4 linked regions of the Caenorhabditis elegans genome follow. The protein of the gene in region 3 purifies or fractionates together with the protein of the main gene of each other region. This does not show direct contact. Each region holds a gene or a part of one and is shown on either strand. Other genes may lie near its edges. The genes, in order: Y38A10A.7, F48E8.3, ZK632.4 and mek-2.

Region 1 (3,074 bases), on a different chromosome or scaffold from region 3:
ATTTCAATCGCCGGAATAAGAAACGCATAAGTCTTCCCGATTCCAGTTGGAGCATCCACTAGAAGTCCTCGGCGGTCACGAATAGCTTGAATTGATTTTTGTTGAACTGCATTCAGAATATGAACTTTTATTCGTTGCAAATTGGCGGCAAGTCGGTGATCTTCTATTGCATGTGCAACCATCCTCTCTGTTCCATAATCAGCTGGAGTTTCTACTCCGTCTTGATCCACCATTATCGTGTTCTCCTCACAGTGTTTATTCAATTTGTCAGTTTCAGCTTTTGAAGATGTGACTGCGCCCAACTGCTGATGACGATCTCTCATTGCTGAAGAAAAGTTATTGAAATATTTAATTGCCCAGAACATGGTTTACCAAAATAATAATCTCTAGTTTTAATAGATCTGAAGTTGAGTACATTTGCATACTTTGGAGGAACTAAATCAATGTGCTCAACTTGTACCCGACTATCGTCTAATGCATCGGCAGTGTTCCAAGGATGAGGCATCTACAAAGATTATTACAAAAATGTTTATATTTTGGTTTGAAAATAAATATTTGAACGAAAAGTAACGGTTTTTACGACACAATATTATAAAAGTAGAAATATAAAAAACGTTTGTTTACCCAAAAAAAAATACATGTAACAATTAAGCCAGAATGAAGATGATAACAAATTAGAAAATCATAGAATCAGAATTTAATATTCTTATGTGCTCGGTGTCTCTTTCGACAGGATCGCATAATCCAGACCAGAATCATCGGATGGGCACGTCACGTCGCTGTTGTATCCATGTTTGTGAAAGAAGCCGAGCGACGGTCCATTATACAGAAAAACTGTTGCCATGACTTTACTCATGTTTGTCCTGAAAATAAGAGTTTTTGTTTATTGGCTCTCGAATTAATTGAAACTGTACTTTGAAGAGAGCTTTTCCAGCGTGTCGAGCATCATGCCACCGATTCCTTTGTTCTGATAAGCCGGTACAATTTGAAGTTCCCAACAATATGCCACAGGAATGTTGTGATCGACCACAAATCGATAAGTGGTATAGCCAATTTTATCCCCTTTCGAATTCTTCGCGATGATGAACCTTGATGTTGTTGCACGAAGTTCGTTTCGCTTGGAATTTTCATCGTATCCCCACTGGGATTTGTGATACATATCGTACATGTTCTCTTTGAATAAACTGAACACCCACTCGAAGTCTTCATCACTCAAATGTGTCGCCCACATGTAATCGAATTTGATAGTTTCGCTGAAAATAATAAAGATTAATTTGAAAATCATTCAAAGATCCTACCCATCAGTTGTAGTACTTCTTTGTGTCTCGCATTCGAATTTCTCAACTGGTTTTATGTGCTGACAAGCTTTTTTGACCAATTTTTTCGAGTCTACGGGCATTTTTGGGCCGATATCTGAAAAATTGTTTTACAATTATTGAGAAATAAAACATGATCGATTATACTGGTGACAAATTGATCAATAAAACCGTAAAGAATACTGAAAAGAAAGGATAGAATCATTTGAAAAAAATGCATATAACTTGAATGTCGTATATTGTGGTGAAAAGTGTGCAAACACCATCACGTCAAGTCACGGATTTGCTTTAAATTAACATTTATATGTAAAAATTAGTCTTTATTGATAAAAATATCGTTAAAATGTACAATTTTGTTGATAATCGGAAACAAATTTACATTTCGTATGTTTTAAGTTGTAATATGTCTCCTAGCTAATATTTTCAGGGTCATTCTTCGCTGTATCATCTGAAATTGAATGCTAGTTAGATATTTTCAATTTTTATTATTAGAAATAAAACAGCTATCCAGCATAAAAAACGATGTTTAATAGAAATATACAAAAAGTGTTACGACAGCACGTTCTTAACCATGCGAAAAGTTCAGAAGTCTGAGACCCGAAGAACTCGGGGGATGTCCAATTGGGGGGATTACCAACTCGGGGGATTGGCCCCGCCCACAGAACCGTGGCTTGCAATACGCCCATTTCTGCAACTGCCGCACGGTTTTAAAACTGTATTTTTCTCAATAGAGCGAGAAATAACAAGAAAAAATAATTTTAAAACCGTGCGGCAGTTATGAAAAACCGTGCGGCAGAAATGGGCGTATTGCAAGCCACGGTTCTGTGGGCGGGGCCAATCCCCCGAGTTGGTAATCCCCCCAATTGGACATCCCCCGAGTTCTTCGGGTCTCAAAAAATGGACGAAAATTAAAATTGCTGTCATACTTCAAACTGAAATTCGTTTCGAGAGTCAAGCCCGTAAATCGCCACAAGTTCTACAGTAGCCATTTAAATAATTATTGTAGTTTTCGCTACAAGACATTTTGCGCGTCAAATAGGTTGCGCAATACGTATTCTCAGAATTTAGTGTTCTCGCAATAAGGCGAAGTTAGGAGGCTTCAAAGATTTGGAAAAAGGGAATGTTCCGCCAGAATCTAACACTTTACCAACTTTACAGTCTCGCAGCGACCTGAACTCCACTTTCATAAATATAAATAATTACCCTCTATATTTGGTAGTTTATTTGTTGATTTAGGTTTAATTTCGTTCGATGGATGCATAAATGTAACAAATTTGTGCAATCATGAACTGAAAAAAGCATCGAAACCTACGCGGAAAAACCAGGCCATATTAACAAACGATCAACTGTGCACGTAGTGTCAGAATGTCCCATCTCGGTTTGATCTTCGAAAATTGCGGGAATTTAGACGCAGTCTTCTAAATTGATTTCGCATAGTGAAGAGTGTGCTAACGTCAACAGAGGATCTCCTGCTTATAAATGGTAGTTTTTTTGAATAATAAAATACGCACTAAAAGGTGGGGCTGAAAATGTACTATTTCTGTAACTACGTGAAGCTTCTTGTACCTACTGAAATATTGTTAATATATTCTAAAAGAGCTTAAAATTTACTACAAAGTTTCTGAAAGTCATTTCAAAAAAAATTACTTTGAAGAGATTTATGAATTTTCAAAGTTTGGAAAATCCATCTATTTTTGCCTATTAATGGTAGTTTTCATTAACTAATAAAATACGCACTAAAAGGTAGGGCTGAAAATG
Region 2 (5,273 bases), 4.3 Mb from region 3:
ATACTGTGTTTGTTTGATCAGCGGGATAGTTTTGAAATAAAACTTGATTTTTCGATGAAGTAGGGATATTTCTCAAAAATGATTTTCTATTGAACCAACATATTAAAATTTAGCTACAGTAACCAAAAAAGGTCGTTTTCTTTGAATACTTCTGCATGGAGTACTGTAGCAAGAATTTCAGCTGCGTCGGGGATTACTGCTACCGTAACCTGCGAGCGGTGTCTGATTTTTTTAAAAGGTGGAAACTTAGAAATTCATGTGATTTTAGTGAAAAATAGTTTTTTTTTCCAAAATTTTTACGCTGTGCATTTCCTTTTTTTGGCATTGATTACAATTTCTCCCATTTTCCAGTGTATTTACCTCACATCATCCTCTGAATCAAAAACTTCATCCCCAACAGCTCCACCGAGATAATAATCATCATCCATTTTTTCAAAAGCAAGTCTACGCATCGTTGCTGCGGTCACTTCATCTGCTGGATATTGGTCATCGAACGTCTCATCGTCATCGTTGATCATCATCGTCTGCCGCTTCTTCTGAAAATAAAACACATTTATTACCCAAAAACACACCACAATACGAAGAAGGAAACACGATAAATACGAGAGAGTGTGAAAATGAAGAGAAAATGAGAAATAAATATATGTGTAGAAGAACCCATAAAGATGCAAATCACAAGAAAAATAAAAATGCTGAATAGAGTAGTAGATATAATAAAAACATATAAAGTTGGTTGGAACTAGTAAATGAATCATTATCTACAGGGGTCCGGGAATCCCGGATCGCGAAAAAATGTTTTTTTTAACTGAAAATTTCTGAATTATACTGTAGAATTGAGCCACAAAACTGAGTTTTTTCTGTAAAAATATTCGAATTAGAGCTCGGTACGAGTCTCCGCAGCAGATTGAGCCGCAGATTTTCCAGCAATTCTGCCAAACACCACACATTCAAGCAGGGAATTTCCAGCCAATCGATTGGAACCATGAACTCCGCCAGTGACTTCTCCAGCGGCAAAAAGGCCGACAATTGGCTTGCCATGCTCATCGATGACGCGGGTGGCCTCGTCGATTTTCAGGCCACCCATGGTGTAGTGGATTGCTGGGACGACGATTGCTGCGTAGATTGGCTCAGTCGGAGAGATTGCAGACACTGGGAACACCTGGAAATGGGAAATTATTACAGTTTCGGTATTTTTCGGCTAATTCCGATGCAAAAATAACTTTGTTTTTACAGTTTCGATATTTTTTTTTGCTGAACGATATTTTTTTAATTTTGAAAAAAAATTTAGGCTTGGGAAAGTTTAAATTGAAAATAGATCGTCAAATATTCGGGGAAAGATTTTCTCGATATTTTTCAACGTTTTACTCAAAGTTTCTAATAATACAATTTCAGCACAATTTTTCCTAAATCTATGAATTTTAGTTTTTCTTTCACTTTTCTGATTTTATAAAGTCTGTTTTAAAAGTAAATGCAATTTTGATCAACTTTTCAGAATTCTTAGTCATTTTTTCAAGAATTTTAAAATTAAAAATATTTGAATACCTTTTTGCCGAAAGGATCTTCAGATTTTCCATCAAAACTCTTCTGATATTCCTCCAAAGTGGTTTTAATAGCTGATTCGTCGATACCCAAAGCCTTTGCAAGCTCCGCGGAGTTCTCGTATTTCGCTGAAAAAAATCAGATTTCAGAGCAATAATACAATTTTCATAATATAAAACTAAAAATTAAAAAAATTAATTTGAAAAAGGGAATTTTTAAAAATTTCAGAAATTCCGGAAAAAAAAATTAGTTTTGGATTTAAAATGCTTTTAAACTCCAAAAAAAAGGAAGCTGATAAAATTTTCGACAAAAAAATCTTTAAACTGGGAATTTTTAATACGAAGATTTTGTCGAACTTATTCTCGAGAAGTGTTAATGGATTTCGAAAAAAAAAATGAAATTTGAAAAAAATTGTTTGGGATTTTTCAAATAACAAACAACTAATTTAAAAAATGTTTTCCAACTTTTTCACAGAAAAAAACCTACCAAAGAATTTCTTAACAATCGAATAAAAATTGAAAGCAGGTCTGCCAAAAGCCTCAACATTTGCTTCATTCATAATCATAATCGCCGCATTTCTTCCAGCAGATCCTCCTTGGAAACTCTCTTCAATTGGCTCAGCGAGCTCAAGAATCTTTCCAGTTAAATAATCGCGTCTTCCCAACTCATTTCCAAATCTTTGTCCCTTTGAGTTAATAAGCAGAGCTCCTTTTCCACGAATAGCCTCAGCCGCCAGGAACTTTGTTCCTGCTGATGGATCTTTTGGATCTACAAACGCTGTAGGATGAATCTGAATATTTTCCATTCCAATAATCTTTGCTCCAAGAGCTCTCGCAATTTTCACACCATCTCCTTTAGCGAATGCTCCATTTGTTGTTGGGAATCCGAATATTTCAGCTCCAAATTCCTTGAGCAAAGTTTCATCAGCAGAGAATCCACCGGTTGCAAGGATTACAGCGTCTCCGATGATCTTTGATTTCTCTCCAGAAGCTGATGTTACAATCTCGATTCCCGATACTTTTCCATTTTCTCTCAAAATTCCAACCATTTTAGTCTGAGTCAAAAGCTTGAAGGCTTCTGGATTCTCCGATTGCTTCTCATTAAGCCTTGTTCTCAATCTCTTCATAATTTCGAAACCAGCTGGTATTGGTCGTCCTTCCTTTGGAGATGGAATCCAATGAGTACGTGGTACAGAATGCCCACCACATAGATTCACATCAGTCAGATCCACTTCAACTCCACGCAGAAATTCAACAGCATCTGCTGAATTAGCAGCCAGAATTTCCACAAGTTTCTTGTCATTTTCAGAGTCTCCTGCACTCAGAGTGTCCTTGACAAGAAGTTCCGGCGAATCTTTGATTCCCAGTTTCTCCTGAGTTTCGGTTCCAGCACCGTTGATTCCGCTGGATGCCTGGAATATTTTTTTCAAGAAGTGAGGATATTGGACACTTTTTTTAAAAATCACCTAGACTTACTAAAACATTTTACTGTAATTTGGCATACTTAATTTTGAAATTTTTCAGAACGAGAATTTGTTACTCTTTTTTTTTATTTCCAGCTTTTTCACACGATTTAACTGTTTTTAAATTTGAAAATTTCTTACAATCGAAATTTTTTAATTTATCATATTTTTTCAGAGACGTTTCAGTTTTAAAGGAAAAAAAACAGAATATTATTTTTTTTCACAATTTGCAACTAATAGTAAAATAAATAACTTTTTCAGAAATTTGGAACAAAAAAATGCGAGAAAATAAATTTTAACAATCGATATTTCCAGAAGTTAAATAGATTTTTTTCAAAAATTCGCAAGATCTTACCTTCGCTGAATTTCCACCAGTATTTCCCTCTCCCTCTACCAAAATCACACGTCCACCTCCATTGATAATATCCAGTGAAGCAGACAGCCCGGCGAGCCCACCTCCAACAACAACGACAGTTGGCTCAGCATGAAGCACAGAAGCCATAACTGTAAGCGAAATGAGCACCCGAATCATCAAATGTCTGTCAATGGGGAAATTTCAACAACGGACACAAAGGGAAATTATAGAAAATGATAGAAAATTGGTTAAAACCGCCGAAAAAATTAGACAGAATTATTTTTTAAAAACCCATTATTTATGGAATGTCTAACATAGGAGAAAAACCGAAAAAAAGGGAAAATATAAAATAAATTAAAGCTGATTTTTGAATAAATATATTCACATGGATAAGGCATCTGGGAAGCATGAAAAAAAAGTGATGGGGAAAAACAATCAATAATTCATAACCGTAACTATTCACATTTACTTTTGATCTAGTAGTATCGATACTACAGTGCTCCACATAATGATACGGCCACCCCAAATTTTGGTATAACTCAAAACTGGGTTGAGATAGCAAAACATAGTTTCTTGTGAAAATGTTCGCTGTACTAACTTACTTTCAGATAAGTATTGGAAATATACCTGAACCGTTTGTAAAAAAGATAAACCATTTTTTCATGAAAAACCATATTTAAAAAATCCACAAAATGATACGGCCACCCTTGGTTTTCGTTTTCTTTTTTCGTTTTCTTTGCAATTTTTTTTGCTAAACGTTAAGTTTCATGTTCGTTTGTGTTTTTACAGTTATGGGTCGTGGAATAACTTCAACTGACTGCGAAAAAGGACAAATTGTGCCAAATTATCTCAAGGCTTCTCGAATCGTCAGATTTTTCGTGATTTGGAAACTTTCGAGAGATATGATCACTCGATATGCTTCCAATCCTGCCGCTTATTGCACAAAAAAGTCTTCTGGTCGCACACCTTTTCTTTCTGTCAGACCCAAAAAAAAAACCGTTCGTCGAGCATCCAATTGAACAGTGACTTGCTCGAAAAGTAGGAGCGAGATGAACCTGGCAGTGTCTGTTGAGGCCGTACGACATGTCCTTTTGAAGTCTCAGTTTAACAAAAGACGAAAATTAAGAAAGGCTCCATTCATTACCAAAAAACCGCCAAAACCGTATTCAGTTTGCTAAAATCAGTCAGGGAACTAACTGAAGACAAGTGAGGATTACGGTATAATCATTCAAGCCCAGTTTTTGGTTTCAGTTCATCTTCAGTGACGAGAAAAAGTTTAACTGTAATGAACCAGATTACTACCGTGATTAGTGGCACGATTTGAGAAAAGAAAAGATGAACTGAAACCAAAAACTGGGCTTGAATGATTATACCGTAATCCTCACTTGTCTTCAGTTAGTTCCCTGACTGATTTTAGCAAACTGAATACGGTTTTGGCGGTTTTTTGGTAATGAATGGAGCCTTTCTTAATTTTCGTCTTTTGTTAAACTGAGACTTCAAAAGAACATGTCGTACGGCCTCAACAGACACTGCCAGGTTCATCTCGCTCCTACTTTTCGAGCAAGTCACTGTTCAATTGGATGCTCGACGAACGGTTTTTTTTTTGGGTCTGACAGAAAGAAAAGGTGTGCGACCAGAAGACTTTTTTGTGCAATAAGCGGCAGGATTGGAAGCATATCGAGTGATCATATCTCTCGAAAGTTTCAAATCACGAAAAATCTGACGATTCGAGAAGCCTTGAGATAATTTGGCACAATTTGTCCTTTTTCGTAGTCAGTTGAAGTTATTCCACGACCCATAGCTGTAAAAACACAAACGAACATGAAACTTAACGTTTAGCAAAAAAAATTGCAAAGAAAACGAAAAAAGAAAACGAAAACCAAGGGTGGCCGTATCATTTTGTGGATTTTTTATATG
Region 3 (4,356 bases):
CTCACAATTCGCCATTGTCTGGCTTGAAAGCTTGGAGAAAACGGCAAACTATCTACTGAAACGAAATTAAATCAAAAAATGGCAATTGTATTGTTGAATAATTGAAAATTTGTCCAGTTGTGGAATGTTTCGCAATGCAATCAATATTTGTCCTGTCAGAGGGACGAGGGTGTAGTTTGAACGGCCATGGCCATATGGTCTGCTAAATGTTTAGCAGACCATAGCTATTTAGCAGACCCAAGCATGGTATGCTAAATATTTAGCAGACCATAGCTATTTAGCAGACCCAAGTATGGTATGCTAATTATTTATGTTAGGGACGTGAAGGACACAATAATTTAGCAGAACCAATACAAAACCTTTTTTTGTTGATAATTGTTCAATTTTAGCATTTTTTCAATATAAAATACAGGATTTTACAATAAACCTCCGAAAATTATTGAATAGAACATTATTTGAAATTTTAACGACCGGCCAGGCAGCGCTAATCGTAAGAAAGAAGGAAGTAATGTAAACAATGAATAAAAATCCTCAAATAATTATTAAGAATTGAAAAATAAGGAATAAAAATTTATTATGAACAACCCTAGATAATGAAAAACAGTGACTAGCACTTTTGTATGTAATTGAAATTCCAAAATTCCAATTTTTAGCTGAAATAACGTGGAAGCTATAGCATGGCAAGTTTAATTTTTAAATACAATCATTGCGTAAAACTGTGGTGAATTATATAAAGACATAAAAAGATTTCTGAATTAATCAATAATCAGACGCTTATTTGAAAGACTTTCGAGGGCTCTTGGTGATGGTGTGAACGCTCGGAATGCAAGAAAATCATCAGAAATATTAATCTTGGGACGTTCAGCGTCATGTGTAGCTCCAATGAAAACGACTTCTCCTCGATTCAATACTTGTGATGCATCTCCCAATGTAACTGTTGCAGTACCATAGAGAACCGTCAAGACAGAACATGATTCGGAGTAAGGAAGTTGGTAGATCGATCCAGCGGGTCCTTTGACTTCCTGCACCCAGAACTCATCAATTCCACGTGGAGTAAATAGTAGTGATCCATCGTCCAGTTCATTTGGAATATATTTTGGAAGCAGGGTCTCATCATAATTCAACATTTCAACCAATGATTCTACATCAATATATTTTGGTGTTAATCCAGCTCGAATAGTATTGTCACTGTCTGCCATACACTCAACACAATCTCCTTTCAAATAAGCATGTGGCATGTTTGGTTCTAAAAATGTTGCCTCTCCAGGTTGTAATTTGAAGTAGTTCAAGAAAATTGGAGCAAATACACCAACATCTCCAGGGTACAATGTGAAAAGGTAGACAATTATTTCATCAAGAGCCGTTTTGTTTTCTGAAATTTAGTAATTAAAAAGAAGATATTCATTCAAAAATATCGCTTACCATGTCCTTGAATTCGTCTGGCAAGTTTATCAACAACTATTTGAAGTTTTTCCTTTGGAGTTCGCCAAATTCTTGAGAAGATCTTTTTGAGAACCTGTGCAGAACTCTCTCCATAAGATCCTAAACTGTCGATTTGACTTTTCTCTTCTTCGGTGAGCAATTCTTGAATTTCAGAGTACACTGAAAAAAAGCAAATTTTAATGCTTATAATCTAATTGTGATAATTACATTTCAGATATTCACTAATTTGTGAATGTTGCCGAAATCCGGAAAGAAGCTCGAATTCAGTCAGAGCAATTGCGATCTCTGGTTTGTGGTTGTCATCTGGATAGTTCTTCGGATCTGTAGCATGAAGAAGTTTTCCTTGTTCTTTTGTTGGATGAATTTGGATTGAGAGTGGTCCAAGAACGGAAAGCACTTTGAAGAGGAATGAAAGGTTGCCTGAAAGAAATAATTAATATTTATTGACAAGGTCATGTTGTTCTTTAAGGAATTGAAATGTATCAATTGGCTTGAAATTTATGTCATTCGGAAGCTGACATCGAATTGGATATTCCTTTTTGCTGATCTCTTAACTTCCAAATTACATAAGTTTCAAGCCAGTTAGACCATTCCCAAGCCAGAACAGTAAAGAATATTTATTTTATTCACCTTTTTCATGTTTTCCCTGTAACTCTGGCGATGTAGCCAAAAGTTGTTTAAGAGCGATGTCTTTTTCGATGACGTGGGCCGGCCCGTTAGCGTGAGTTCCCACCCAGAACTGTAATAATAAAGATGATGAAAGAGAACGTGTTTCGGGAGTGATGTAGGCCGATCTGATCAGGTGATCGACGACACAATCTTCGAAAGTCACGACATAAGGTCAGAAACCACGGTAAGACGCCACAAATAGATTGAGAATCGCTTTAATTAGAACGGAAATAGATACATGTTTCATTACTCACTTCAGCGTATGGTTTGTCTTTGTCAAGATTTGGAATATGACCACCATCTAATGCAAGACTTCCAGCCATGCTAGAATTTCCTTTGGGTCCCCATGCGTAGTTATTGACAGTGCACTTTAGCTTCAGAAGCATCTGAAAACATGAATTATGGAAGAAATGTTTTGAGAGAACAGATTATGTTCGAAATATGAGTTAGGGAGAAAATAAAAGATATAATGCATCAAAATGACGGTAAACGACTGATCTCTCTAGTTTTCTCTGATCAACGCATGCGCTAAAATCGACACGTGACTAAATATAATCAGTCATAAGTTGACCATAAGACAAGAGAAAAAGACTTCCGAACTGGAAGACACGGAATACATATATATGACCGAGAGGCTCGGAGACGCAGATTGAAAACGCTGAGATCAGAACTATAAAACGAGTGCGACCGTCGACTTTTTTCATATCTTGAGTGGGTATGCGTGTGAGATTGCGTCAACGTGACTGCCTAAACTAATTGTAGAGAAAGGTCGTAAATTTTCAGACAAATCAAATGATTGTCGGAGACAGATTTATGGGTGGGATCATAAGAGAGAGATAGATCGTATTCTCGGTGATTATTTACACGATGAACGCACGCAACATGGCGACGACAACATGCGGCAAAACTGAGAAATTCCTTGATCGCTGATTTTGAAGCAGGTTAATGCCGGAAGTGGTTTTTAAATACAAAAATCGGGACATTTCTTAGCCAATGAAGGTCACAAAAGATCGAACAACAAAGTGTAAATTAATGAAAAATTATTTCAGAGAATCAGAATAGAACTTTGATGAAAGTTTATTTATTTTTGAAAGCAACAAGTTTTTTCACAAAAAATGGTTTTTACAGGCTCTATGGAAACAATGGAAAAAATGTTCCGTAGAAGTGCATGTTCTAATATTCAATAGTCGAGAACTATGAGTAAAGATGTAAATTTTATAAATTTAAATTCAAACAATACAAAATTTACAGTAGCATAAAATATTTTTAAAAAACTTTATATAAATGGCAACTAATACTCTAAAAACTTAGTCATAATGGTGGATTCATTTCTACTGAGACTGATGTTCCATAAAGTGTGATGCAGGCGTGCTCTACTAAACTCCTCCTAATGTTTTTTTGTTGTTTTTTCAATTGCCACTGTTTTTTTTTCTAATTTCAATAAAACTGAATCCTTTTTAAATTGTTTTTTTCAGAAATGCTAAGCACATTAAGCTTTCTAATACATGGGGAACAAAATGTGCAACAGTGCCAAACAATATCAGATTTGGAGTGTCTCTATCTGATCAATAAAAATCAGCCCTTACGAGACTCAAACGGGAATCCTGTAGGTTTGACAATTCTTCAAAAGAAACATCTTGGAGCTCAATTCAAAATTTCAGTTGACAGCTCACGAATTGACGGATGATTTGAATGAACGGCTGGTTACTCTAAAGCTAGAAGCATTTCGCCCGGTTGTCTCTGAAGTCCTAGGTATACATCTATAGTTTAAAGCAATTTTTGTTTGAGTTTAAATATTTTTAGATCAGCTGGAAGAACAGGATGATGCTCTCCACTATTTTGTGCTGGTCGCAACTTCCCGGTTGTCAGATGAGGATTTTGAGAATAGCTTGAAAGAAGTCTCGTTGTCCCAAAAATTGGTAAATTTTTATTTTCACAAATTTTGTAAGGTTTTTCTCGAGAAATCTTCTAGAAAACTGCTCATTTTTATATTTTTCAATCCCAGAATAAATTAATTCAAATTACAGATGGTACGAATCGATGGTGAATATAAATACAGATTATATTCAAAACCAATTGTACGAAATAACATTCCACAATTAGCATGGGATATTTCTCCAGCACTGAGAACACGCAAAGTGGCAGAAAAAGATGAGATATCACCACGTAAGAAATACTAAAAATGTTTTTTAAAATAACACTATGAAATTTCAGCAAACAATACAGCGAATGTATATCCAGTTG
Region 4 (4,962 bases), on a different chromosome or scaffold from region 3:
CAGTTTTTGGCCTTTTTTCGTGTTTTTTTCGGTGTTTTTCGTGAAATGCACGTCTTAAAACGTCTAATAAGCTTATATTTCCAAGAAATATCGATTTAAATCGGAAAAAAGACTACTGATGCGTCTTGGAATTGTTTGCTCTTTATCTCTTCTCATCTCTGTTTTTTCGACAAAAAAGCTGAAATAAATCGAATAAATCAGGCAGTATTGTTCTGAAATGAAAAATTTGCAGAAAAATGGTATTTTTCCATTTTTTTCATCAAAAGAAGCACCAATCGTGGAGAAAGTCCCTTCTTCTACGTAGAAATCCCCGTTTTCTATATAATTCCTCTCATCGAGACTTATATTATCCGATTAGCAGGTCAAAAATCCCCGTTTTTGGCACGGATCCACTGAAATCTCAATAAAAATCACATTTTCTCGAAGAAAAAAGCAACAAAAGAGCCGTCATCCCCCTCTCAAATTTCCTCTCCTCCTCAATTTCGATTAAATTTTTAATTATTTAGGCGCTTTTTCTGCTCTCTTTTTTCTTGCTCCAGCAGCGGCTCCCCGCATCTCTCATCGCCTTCTTCTCTTTTCTTCTCGCTTGACCGAGCTCTCGCAGTCCGGAAAAGCAGTCAATAAGCTAGAGAGCCGTGCTTTTTTTTCACCTGTTCTCAAAAATCGCCACTTCACGACAGGTTATATTCATCAATCAATTCATCACGTTTTTGCCTCGATTTCAGAGAAAACTAGTTGTTTCGGAAGAAATTAATCGCGAAATTTTTTTTATTTTCCCTTTTTTCAGACGGCTAAAATCACGTGGAAATTTATAATTGTATAGGTTTTCACTCAAATTGGCTCGAAATAGCTCGAAAAAATTCCAAAATGTGTATGGCGAATCAAAATTCGAAAAAAAAAAACCAAAATTTGCTAAAATCAGCGGCTAAAAATCCAGTTTTCATTGAATTATCTTCATTTTTTTAGAATTTTTGGCTTTTTGCCACCCAAAAATGGTCTCAAGCATTGAAAAAACACTGCGACAAGGAAAAGTTGACAAAATGTAGGATTTTAGCAATTTTTGCTTCAAAAACACGCCAAAAAACAGTTTTGGAATTTTTTAAAAATATGTAATTTTAGGTCATTCTGAGTATATTTAAGTGAAAACCCTCTTTAAAGGTGAAGTACCGAAATTCGAATCTTTGCTTTTTTAGACCCAAATTGGTCCAAAACTACCGAATTTCGTAATGAAACGTTTCGAAAATTTCTCAAAAAAAAGTTATGGCGGTTCAAAGTTCGGCAAATTAAGGCCCACAAAATTAAGGCCCAACGTCTGGAACCCAATTTTTATTTATTTATCACTTTTTAATAAATATTGCGGTCTTTTATTAGGCTTTTATTCGTTGTTTTAAGTACATTTATGGTCAGTGGGCACAAAATGTAACTTTTATTTGTGCCCCAAAGGCCAGAAATATGCTTAAAACAACGAATAAACGCCCAATCAAAGACCACAATATTTATTAAAAAGTGATGAATAAATAAAAATTAGGTTCCAGACGTTGCGACACCGAGAAGTTGGAAAAAATTTTGATTTTAGCTGAAAGTTGGCCTTATTTTGCCGAACTTTGGACCGTCATAACTTTTTTTTGAGAAATTTTCAGAATGTTTCATTACGAAATTCGGTAGTTTTGGACCAACTTGCGTCTAAAAAAACAAAGTCTCAAATTTCGGTACTCCACCTTTGATTTCTGAAAAAAAACTCTGCTTTCAGTTAAAATTACCAAAGAAACTAAATATTTTTAATATTTCCTGACTAATTTTTAGAAAATTAAATAGTTCTGAGTATTTTCTGAATTAGACTCCAAAAATCGCTAAATTTTCCCATTTTCCCCAGTTTTTCATAAGTTTTCTTGGAATTTTCCTCGTTTTTTTTCTAAAAAAAACCTCTCGATTAAAATAAAATCCAACTATTTTCCAGATAATGTCGAGCGGAAAACGGCGTAATCCGTTGGGACTCAGTCTACCACCGACAGTAAATGAACAAAGTGAAAGTGGCGAGGCGACGGCGGTAATAATTTAAAATTATTTTTAATTTTTAAATATTGAATTTAAAAAATATAAATTTCCAGGAAGAAGCCACCGCGACAGTCCCACTAGAAGAACAGCTGAAAAAGCTCGGGCTCACGGAGCCACAAACTCAACGGCTCAGCGAATTCTTGCAGGTCAAGGAGGGCATCAAGGAGTTGAGTGAGGATATGCTACAGACTGAAGGAGAACTTGGCCATGGAAATGGAGGAGTTGTTAATAAGGTTGGAATTTGCTGAAATAAGCTGGAATTTGGAAATAAAAAGTTCAATTTTTCAGTGTGTTCATCGAAAAACCGGTGTAATTATGGCTCGGAAGCTTGTACACCTCGAGATCAAGCCGTCAGTCCGACAACAGATCGTCAAAGAGCTCGCCGTACTTCACAAGTGCAATAGTCCATTCATTGTTGGATTCTACGGGGCTTTTGTGGACAATAACGATATATCAATTTGTATGGAGTATATGGATGGGCTTTCACTTGATATAGTTTTGAAAAAGGTAATAGTTTATTGGAAAATGTGCGGGTATGTTGGAAAATGATATGGTGGACAGTTCTCGCAGGATTCTCGGATTCGGCTTGTCCTTGTGATCCGCATTGTCGATCTGACCAAGCTTCTACTCGGAGTACCTGGCTCTGCCGATGGTCCGAATGATCCTTGTGATCCTGAAGCTCCGACCTTCTTCCCGGTACCTGGAATTCCGTCTTTCCAGAGGTTCCTGGCGGATCCTGTTCAGAAGATCGAACTCCGGCGTCTCAATTGCTTCCGTCTTGTCCTGGAGATCTGCTCTTTCCCGGATGTCCTGGTGGGCTTGCTGGAGCGTTTCCTTCTGGAAGAAGTTCTCCAGGCTCTCCTGTGGTCCAGAAGCTCACGGGCATTATGGCGGAATCGGGAGAGTTCAATCACGAAGCTCGTCCTGGTGATCCTGGATCACCTGATTCTCCGACTTTTCTATGGTTCCTGGCGGTCCCTGAGCTCGCTGGTGGGCAGTGCTCGCACAATCCTGGTATTCGGCTTGCCCTCCTCCTGGGAGAAGTGCTCCAGGCTCTGCCGATGGTCCGGATGATCCTTGTGATCCTGAAGCTCCGTCCTTCTTCCCAGCACCTGGAAGTCCGTCTTTCCAGAGGTTCCTGGCTGAACATATTCAGAAGATCGTCCAATAAAAAGCTCGTCATTCTGGATTTTTAAACGAAATCTTTGGCTCACCCTGCTCTCCAGCAACTCCGTACGTGGTGTCTGTCCGCTGTCCCATTACGGTTTGACCTACAAAAAATGCGGCAATTTTTTCCCCAAAAAATGTGACGTCAGCTGAAAATTCTTCGTCTCGACTCCCGCATTTTTTGTAGATCTCGGTAGATCAAACCAAAACGGGGCAGCCTGGCACCACGTGCTCCGACGTCTCAACTTCTTCCGTCTTGTCCTGGAGATCTGCCCTTTCCAGGATGCCGTGAGCCTCCTGTCCGTCTTGATGGCCTAGTTGGGTTTGCTGGAGTGTCTCCTTCTGGAAGAAGCACTCCAGGCTCTCCTGTGCTCCCCCAATACCTCCAACAGAAGCTCACGGTGCTCTCCTGGTTCTTGACCTAGTTCTCTTTCCAGAGGTTCCTGGCGATACCTGAGCTCACCGTGCTTCACAAGCCTCTTCACCCTTTTTTTTATTAAATGGACAACTACGACATATCGATTGAAAAAATAATATAGTTTATTCGAAAATGTACAGACAGACTCGCATAAGCTTCTAATATCCTGGAGCAAGACGTGCTGGTGGGCAGTGCTCGCACGATCCTGGAGATCCGGCGTCTCCTGGCGATCCTGGAGTTCCGGCTTGTCCTGGTGGTCCTGGTGGTCCGCGTTGTCCTGAAACAAATTTAACGTTTAGAAGAAGAAGAAGAAGCCTAGCTTATCATGATAATTTACCTGGCTCTCCAGCAACTCCGGCGTCTCCGTTGCTTCCGTCTTGTCCTGGAGATCCGGCCTTTCCTGGCTGTCCTGGTGCTCCTGGCCGTCCTGGTGGTCCGGATGGGCCTGGTGGAGCGTCTCCTCCTGGAAGAAGTGCTCCAGGCTCTCCTGGTGGTCCGCGTTGTCCAGGCTGTCCTGGTTGCCCAGGTGGTCCCGGTGGTCCGGATGGTCCTTGTGGTCCTGGAGCTCCATCCTCTCCGTTTCTTCCCGGGTTACCTGGAATTCCATCTTGTCCTGGTGGTCCTGGTGGTCCTCCAAGTCCTGGAGCAGCAGTGCATGGGCATTGTGGTGGAACCGGGAGAATTCGATCATGAAGCTCGGCATCAGGTCCTGGTGGTCCTGGCTCTCCTGGTCCTTGACCTGGTTCTCCGTCTTTTCCAGGAGTTCCTGGCTCTCCATCTGGTCCTGGTGGTCCCTGTTGGCATGTGCAGCATTGAGCATCAGCTTGACGTGTAGCTCTGAGCAGAACATCAAGTGGATCATCAGCACCTTCCGGTGCAACCTCGACCATCTCACGCCACATATCCCGAGATCGGGACTTGCAGTACTCAACCTCTCCTTGTACGGAAGCTTGAAGGGTCTGCACATAGTGGAATACCAATGGGAAAGCGATAAGCACAGCAGTCACTGCGACTGTGGAGAATGTGACGGCGACGAACGCCACACTTCGCAACGATCCCTTGCTCTTCTCGTCCATCTGAAATTCTATGAATTTTCTAGAATATTCGAACAAAGAATCAAAGGTGAAGAAGGGAAATGAAAAATGTCAGAAGTGTCAAAAGAATAAGAAGAAGAAGCCTACACAGTCATTTGCCGTTGCCCCCGAGTGCTTATATGCGGCCGCTGTGGTGGAACGAAACGGCAAGTCGCGCACTTCTGTGTGCGCTGCGTCTCATCGTTGCGCACGCAATTTCCGTGCGCCCCGCGCAGTGAACATCCCTTG

What was found.
Region 1: the proteins of ZK632.4 (region 3) and Y38A10A.7 fractionate together in Caenorhabditis elegans (co-fractionation; one large-scale study listed by BioGRID). This does not show direct contact.
Region 2: the proteins of ZK632.4 (region 3) and F48E8.3 fractionate together in Caenorhabditis elegans (co-fractionation; one large-scale study listed by BioGRID). This does not show direct contact.
Region 4: the proteins of ZK632.4 (region 3) and mek-2 fractionate together in Caenorhabditis elegans (co-fractionation; one large-scale study listed by BioGRID). This does not show direct contact.

What each region holds. Positions count from the first base shown.
Region 1 is NC_003283.11:6,094,536-6,097,609, reverse strand, and holds Y38A10A.7 (N-alpha-acetyltransferase 40), read right to left. Parts: upstream 1,414-3,074; 5' UTR 1,400-1,413; coding exon 1,299-1,399; intron 1,254-1,298; coding exon 915-1,253; intron 864-914; coding exon 707-863; 3' UTR 517-706; downstream 1-516. Other genes in the region: smut-1 (Synthetic MUTator), read right to left, coding at 1-325, 373-505.
Region 2 is NC_003281.10:5,459,646-5,464,918, reverse strand, and holds F48E8.3 (fumarate reductase (NADH)), read right to left. Parts: upstream 3,541-5,273; 5' UTR 3,504-3,540; coding exon 3,357-3,503; intron 2,951-3,356; coding exon 2,026-2,950; intron 1,668-2,025; coding exon 1,543-1,667; intron 1,160-1,542; coding exon 875-1,159; 3' UTR 537-874; downstream 1-536. Other genes in the region: F48E8.2 (E2F-associated phosphoprotein), read right to left, coding at 361-521.
Region 3 is NC_003281.10:9,804,957-9,809,312, forward strand, and holds ZK632.4 (putative mannose-6-phosphate isomerase), read right to left. Parts: upstream 2,499-4,356; coding exon 2,367-2,498; intron 2,183-2,366; coding exon 2,074-2,182; intron 1,864-2,073; coding exon 1,651-1,863; intron 1,603-1,650; coding exon 1,423-1,602; intron 1,373-1,422; coding exon 756-1,372; 3' UTR 559-755; downstream 1-558. Other genes in the region: riok-3 (Serine/threonine-protein kinase RIO3), read right to left, coding at 1-15; gtap-2 (Gamma-Tubulin Associating Protein), read left to right, coding at 3,590-3,718, 3,774-3,864, 3,916-4,031, 4,140-4,278, 4,327-4,356. UniProt on the Caenorhabditis elegans protein: Involved in the synthesis of the GDP-mannose and dolichol-phosphate-mannose required for a number of critical mannosyl transfer reactions.
Region 4 is NC_003279.8:3,010,444-3,015,405, reverse strand, and holds the start of mek-2 (Dual specificity mitogen-activated protein kinase kinase mek-2), read left to right. Parts: upstream 1-1,957; 5' UTR 1,958-1,960; coding exon 1,961-2,047; intron 2,048-2,108; coding exon 2,109-2,288; intron 2,289-2,343; coding exon 2,344-2,562; intron 2,563-3,740; exon of another isoform or gene 3,741-3,798; coding exon of another isoform or gene 3,799-3,917; intron 3,918-3,977; coding exon of another isoform or gene 3,978-4,716; exon of another isoform or gene 4,717-4,722; intron 4,723-4,787; exon of another isoform or gene 4,788-4,913; intron 4,914-4,962. Other genes in the region: col-48 (Nematode cuticle collagen N-terminal domain-containing protein), read right to left, coding at 3,799-3,917, 3,978-4,716. UniProt on the Caenorhabditis elegans protein: Functions in the let-60 Ras signaling pathway; acts downstream of lin-45 raf kinase, but before the sur-1/mpk-1 gene product in controlling vulval cell differentiation. Required for progression of developing oocytes through the pachytene stage.